Linked DNA regions of Oryzias latipes. The protein of the gene in region 1 interacts with the protein of each later gene in a biochemical or structural test. Links are inferred from orthologs where the notes say so. Each region holds a gene or a part of one and is shown on either strand. Other genes may lie near its edges.

Region 1 (3,756 bases):
GTTCCACCAAGTAATTTGTGTTCTGAACTGAAAGCAGAACCGCCTGCGTTTACCTTTGGTGTAAGCCACACAGTCGATGTCCGTAGGTTTGAGGCCTGCTTCCTCCAGCGCCTCCTCCAGGACGGTCAGTATAACACTGCGGTGGTGTCGTGCAGTGTCACTCGGCATGAACCCTGCAGAGCCCACGAACGCAAAAGTAGCTTCATACTTTGACATGCGCTCAGTGTGATGTGGGAGCAGATCTTACCTTGACCAGGGGGGGTGATGTAAGTCCTTCTTGGGTTGGAAAGCACTTCGCCATCCTTTATAATGCCAATACCAATCTTATTGGCACTGCCCTCAAACCCGATAACTATGGTCATGGCAGCCGGAAAACTCTTATCTGGAAAGGCAAAACAAATCCAAACACGTATTTAAGATTATAGAATTGGCAACCATGAGCTCAACCTCTTAGAGCTTCTATTCTCGTATCCTTGCAGCTTTCTTTGAAGGTCATTTATTAATTGTCTGTATCCTCTTTGTCCAGGTGAAGTTAGTGGTTACTGAAGCTTCTGCCACAACCTGGACACCAATGGAAGGAGGTGGAGCCTCCACCTATAACTGCAACATGAGGCATCAGCCAGCTTTGACTGTTCCAAATCAACAGCTGATGTCAATGTATGGTAACAACAAAGGAAACTTCAGAGCAAAGAAACAATTTGAAGATGCAGAATCCCTCGTAAAAGACAATCTAACAAAAAACATATTTGTATTTAGAAAGAAACGGAAGTAATTTACTTTTTTTCTTACTTAAAAGTTGAATCAAACATCAAAACATTTTGGCACCAGAGGCAGAATTTCACCATTATAAACAGGAGCACATAATGGTAGCACTAACAAAACCCTAAACTAACGTAAAAAAAATAAACCAGAATTATATTATGATTTACACATTTACATAGACAAAAAGAAAATAGTTTCCTGAATCTATAACAAATGCAAAGAAACAAACAAACAAAATGAACTTTCCATAGAATATTAGACGAATATTCAACTTTCGTAAGCTAACTCGAAAATGTACATATTTTTTAAATATTACCTAGCTTTATGCTTTCTCTCTTTCTTTCTTTGGCATGAATAAATTAAAATTCGTAAAACGATGTTTATTTCGACATTTCTTAAAAGAAACTACAGTTTTTAAGCTATTTTTGCACGCGAGGTTTTCAGGACCCAGGTATCGGTGGGTGAAAATGTGCCTTATCATAAAACTTTATTTACGGTCGCTTTATTACACTTTGTGGTAGGGTTAAATGTTTAGTGGTTAGCGTGAGTAAAAAATGATTATTTAAATATATAAGGATTGTATTGTATTTATATATATATCCTTTGATGTGTCAGGCACATGTGGGGCAGAACGACTTTGAGTGTGTGGGTCGACGTGAGCGCGTGTTTGGGGGAGTGACTGACTGGGGAGCACCATCGAAGTGGAGTTGCATCCTGTTGTGAACGTGCAAGTAAGGTTATTTGCATCTCCTTTTCCTGAAACGTCTCTAAAATAACCCGGCAATTAGCCGCATTTGCATTCGCCCGTTAATTTTAAGCTAGCATAAAAAGCTGCTTGGTTCTTCCACCAGACGGGGCTGCTTCCATTCAAAGAGCAGGCCGCCTGCTGCAGTTTCACTGCTCTTTGTTACAAGAACAACGCTAGTTCCTTGTTAGCTCAACTCGTGAAAAACAAATCCGCGAACACGAGATTCACCACAGAGTTTAGCACCTATACGCACGCGGCCCGGTAAATATGCACAAAACACGTGTTTTTTTGTTTTTGCATATCCTCAAGTAGTACACAATAAAAGAGTGAAGATCCTCATCCCGAGTCTTACATGTCACAACAAGATTGAGGCCTCGTTAGGGATGATGTGCAGGATCCCAAAACACACGGACAGTTTCAAACTGTTGCATTTCATCCAGTTAGGTTCAGCTCTTTGTGTGCTTCAGAGGATACTTACAACTTTTATTTTGACGTCAACCAAGACAATAACCCCTAACTTTCTCCTGGATCATCTTTAAATAAATTTGTTTGAACATGCCAAACACACTCCTCATTTTAAATAAACTTATAGGGGGGGGGGGGGGATAAAATGAGTATAATATCAAAGTATAGTAATTCTATATCAAGTTAAACAAATTTGGTAATATTTTGTCTTTGTGTTAACAATAAGGCTGACTTGTGTGGTAGAATAACAGTAGACAATAAAAAGGTTGTGTCACAGTGTCTTCTTCTAAAGCACTATTTTGTGAAATTTATGATATTTTTATGTTTGTAAAAAGTTTTTTTTCTTTGAAGTAAGTTTGGTTTAAGTGATATTTTTTAAATCCTTTTGAGTTTTTTTTCCCAACAATGTTCTTTAAAGTCAGTGAATTTTAATGTTTGATTTTCTGTCAGGCTGGGCTGCTGTTGACTACACGTTTGTCGAATTCATCAGTTTAATCAGGCGTTCCTGTGTCCAGCGGCGCGTGTGTTGCTGTGTGTGCGTGTTGTGTGTCTGCGAGGAGTGTTTTCTGTCAGATCAAGTTCAAAGATGAAGAGAGGAAAGAAGACGGAGGAAGCAGCGGCAGCAGACGGGGAGAATGACTCCGGCTCTGGTTTGTGCCAAACCTGCCGCTTTGTTTCATTGTTTCGTTTTGAAAATTTTTGAAACATTTTCAATCCTTTACGACAGCTTCTGCAAAGAAACCAAAGAAGACTAAGGAACCCGAGGCCCCCATTCTGTACGAGGACCCACCCGACAAAATGACCAGCAAAGATGGCCGCAGCGCCAACATGAAGATTACGTCGTGGAACGTGGACGGGCTGAGGGCGTGGGTGAAGAAAGGGGGCCTGGATGTAAGCTTACACCAAAAAAAAACCTGTTCACTAGGGCTGGGTGATATAGAATATTTTATATCACAATATAGATTTTTTCATATCAAGCGATAAATATCCCGATATAAACCAAGTAACTATGTGTAACCATGAAATGTGTAATCATCAGCTGATTGTTTAGATTTAAATATCTATTTCCTATTTTAAACATAACAGATGCGATAACGAAGATGATGCAACAGGTTTTTTTTTTAGATAAGTAAATGCATTTGTTACAAAGTAAAATGAAAATTAAAGCAAAAGCTTTCAAGTTTCAAAAGAGAACATAAAATGGAAACCGTTTGATCAGTTCTATTTGAAAACAAAACATACATTTTACAAATAATCGTTCAGTTCTGATTGGATCCTGTTAAAAATCCCCGCTTGTTCCGCTGTTTTATCACTCAAAAGTGAAAACACACACTCCACAGTGGCCGTGGAGGTTGAGCTTGTCTCACGTCGCATTTTTTCACTCGTGTGAAGACTAAAGAAATTCAGCAAAAAGAGAGCTGATGAACATGACTATGCAAACATTTCATGTGGCGACTAACCCATTACGTTTTACTTGCCAAAGAGGAGCAAAAAAACTCACAACCAGCGAGTGTTATTTTCGGACCCTTAAAAATTAAAGTCTAATGTGATAAAGTTCCATTGCTATGTACTGGTATATATTGTTATCGTTTTATCGCCCAGCATTAATGTTTGCTGCTATCCACACTAAAAAAGCATACCTGTCGTTCTCAGTGGGTGCGTGAGGAGGCCCCTGACGTTTTGTGCCTCCAGGAGACGAAGTGCGCAGAGAAAGACCTCCCTGCTGAAATTACCTCCATGCCAGAGTACCCACACAAGTACTGGGCTGTCTCAGATGATAA
Region 2 (2,981 bases), on another chromosome or scaffold:
TAATCCCGATGTGAGCTACAATTCCCGTTTTTCCCACAACCTGACAGACTTGTGCTGCTTAGGTTGCTGGAGTTGTGGACGGAAACGTGACCCGGGTTCTGTGTCGGCTCAGAGCAATCGGAGCCGACAGCACAAGTCCTGCAGCGAATCAGGCTCTGTGGTAAACATCTACATGGTTTTTGGAAGAATTTCTGTCTAAATCCTGTGAAAACACAAAACTGCTTGATGATTTATTATTTAACATAGTTGAGACGTTGACACATGCTTCAAAAAGACCAGTGGGTTCTTCTCGGTTTTAGGGGTTTAGCCAATGTCTTGGTGGATTCAGAGAGACCTGGAGACTTCAACCAGGCCATGATGGAGCTGGGAGCCCGAGTCTGCACCCCCAAAGGACCTCTGTGCAGCCGCTGTCCCGTCCGGGCCCACTGCCGCTCGCATCAGAAGGTTCATCCGAAGCCCTGAGCGCTGCAGGCGGGAACCAGCTGCTGTGAATTCCAGCTGATGCCGTCGTCGTGTCTCTGCAGGTCCAAGTCCAACAAGAGCAAAACACCAAGAAGCTTCTGGGGAGGACGGACAGAAGCGTCTCAGAGGTGCTGGACGTGGAGGACTGCAGTAAGGCTGCTGTATCTTCTCTTAGCTTCTGTTGGTTGACGATGAAGGTCTGACGTCTTCCCCCTCATCTTCAGTGAGAGGTGGAACGTGTCCCCTGTGTCCCCTGGAGCCGTGGGACGATAGTCTGGGTGTTCAGAACTTCCCCAGAAAGCCAGTAAAGAAGGCGCCCCGAGCAGAGCGGACTCTGACCTGCGTGGTGGTCAGACCCGGGGAGCAGGACGACCACGAGTTCCTGCTCACGCAAAGACCAAACAAAGGTGAGTCTGAGGTCACACCTGCAGCGGGATTCCTGGGGGTGGAGCCCGACTCCAGCACCCTTCTGGACCTTCAGACACTATTTTCTTGGTGGATGGGGATTCCTCAGGATTGAAGGTGGGGCTGTTTTCAGGTCTTCTGGCAGGTCTGTGGGAGTTTCCAAGTCTCTTGCTGCAGGACGGAGACTCCGATGCTGAGCGGAGGAGGGCGCTGTGTCATCAGATCAGCAGAACGCTGAACGCCGACGTGAGCGACGGCCTCCTCCGGCACGTGGGAGAGGTAAGCCCGACGCAAATCACCAACCTGTGGTCCACCAGGAAGCCATCTTTACGCCTCTGTGCGGTGTTTCCTGCTCCTTTGCAGGTGGTTCACGTCTTCTCCCACATCCACCAGACGTACGTGGTCTACAGCGCGCGCTTGAAGAGAAGCGACGCCCGAGTGCAGGCGGAGAACACGCAGTGGCTCACCCGCTCTGCTCTGCAGGGCGCCGCCGTGTCCACGGGGCTGAAGAAGGTCTGAGCCTGTCCTGGTTTTCACCGCAGAGGCGTCAAATGTCTCATTTGATGAAACTGCAGATCTTTGTCTCCATTGGCGGAAAACGGTTAATTATTTAGAGACGATTTTCTTCTCTGCACTCGTCCCGCTCTGATCATTTGGGTTTGCCGTCTTTAGATGGATCTTTACTGTCATTGTCGCTGCTGCAATGAAGTTCAGAAAGTTGTCCCCGGTCTGTGCCACAATCATAGATTCATGGGTCGCAGTAAAAATAATAAAAATACAGGAAAAGTGCACGACGAAAAAAAAAGAAATGAAAACTCATTTGTTACCAGATAAAATTGCATCTATCATTAAAAAAGACAAAAACAGAACACTGTTACTTAGTGATAAAATTGTTAAAACCCACCAAAAAATGAAAGAAAATAGGAATGTGAATAAAAAAAATATATATTTATTTGTTGCAAACTTCAAGCAGTCTAGAAGTCCAGATTTCCTTTGATGTTTCTGAATAAATGTGCTCTTCTCTGAGATGTTTTTTCTGTTCTCCCTCAGATCTTAAAGCTTTATGAATCTCGGGCTGGTTTGGAAGAATCCCCTAAGGTACGAGGCTCGGTCGATGTGTTGACCTCATTGTGACGGATCTGGAGCCGGAGCTGAATGTAGATCTGTTCCGGCGCTGCAGTCTCCAGACGATTCTGTGTGTGTCTGATGCAGGAGGAAAAACCCTCGAAGAACGCCGAGAGAGTGAAGACGTCAAAGAAATCCAGAGCGGCTGCAGCGATGGGCAGAGCCAGACAGCTTCCCCTCAACTCCTTCTTCAAGACGTTGAAGGAGGAGAGTGGCTCATAAGCTGCTTGATGACATCATCATCCTGTTACCGCCTCAGGGATGATGCGGTTCTGCTGTTGGTGTAAAGTTTTCAATCACTGTGATCCTAAAATGTCCCATAATGCTCTTTAGTGTGACATCACTTTTTAAACATTTTATTAAAACCAAACGTTGCGACTTTTATGTTTGCATTCTCAATCACTGACTTATAAGGTCTCAACTACTTTCATTCAAAACTTTATTAACAAAGCCATAAACGACTAAACCTATATTTGAGAACAAAGTTGTGCGATGATCATAAAAAAAGAGTTTTACAAAAATAAAATGGTAAAGTTGGTTGTATTTTCATGAAAATAAAGTTTTACATTTACAAAAAAGGTCAAGTAGATTCAGTGAGATTCTTAATAAGTGTGACATCCTACCAGGGGCCAGGAACATTTTCTATGGGGGGGCAGAAGACTTAGTGGAAGGCCAAGAATTTGTATCTCTAAAAATGTTATAATTGTTATTTTTATTTCATTTAAAATATTGCTGTTGTAATTCTGCAACGCGTAAAAGAAACTTGGGTTGATTTCATAACCCTTGTACTGTCCTAGGCACTTTACCATTGGGAGTTGGGTCATCTAGACCCACTAGACAGTTCTCTGAACCTTTTTTCTTCAATGATTTGTGATCTTCACTGGTGTCCATGGATTACATGAAATCTTTCCACCTTTATCATGGTAGGGAGAACACGTCAATGGGTCATCTTGACCCCATAGGATAGCACAAGGGTTAAGCTTCATCAT

What was found.
Region 2: the proteins of apex1 (region 1) and mutyh form a complex in vitro, tested with the Homo sapiens proteins (3 studies listed by BioGRID and IntAct, with this or other methods). The link is inferred for Oryzias latipes from reciprocal best matches to the Homo sapiens genes APEX1 and MUTYH.

The regions. Positions count from the first base shown.
Region 1 is NC_019881.2:10,825,756-10,829,511, forward strand, and holds the start of apex1 (DNA-(apurinic or apyrimidinic site) lyase), read left to right. Parts: upstream 1-1,370; 5' UTR 1,371-1,493; intron 1,494-2,467; exon of another isoform or gene 2,468-2,490; 5' UTR 2,491-2,561; coding exon 2,562-2,625; intron 2,626-2,702; coding exon 2,703-2,866; intron 2,867-3,628; coding exon 3,629-3,756. Other genes in the region: osgep (probable tRNA N6-adenosine threonylcarbamoyltransferase), read right to left, coding at 54-173, 248-362.
Region 2 is NC_019862.2:6,613,501-6,616,481, forward strand, and holds the end of mutyh (adenine DNA glycosylase), read left to right. Parts: intron 1-62; coding exon 63-160; intron 161-299; coding exon 300-444; intron 445-524; coding exon 525-612; intron 613-686; coding exon 687-869; intron 870-1,000; coding exon 1,001-1,146; intron 1,147-1,230; coding exon 1,231-1,380; intron 1,381-1,917; coding exon 1,918-1,965; intron 1,966-2,079; coding exon 2,080-2,214; 3' UTR 2,215-2,376; downstream 2,377-2,981. UniProt on the Homo sapiens protein: Involved in oxidative DNA damage repair. Initiates repair of A*oxoG to C*G by removing the inappropriately paired adenine base from the DNA backbone. Possesses both adenine and 2-OH-A DNA glycosylase activities.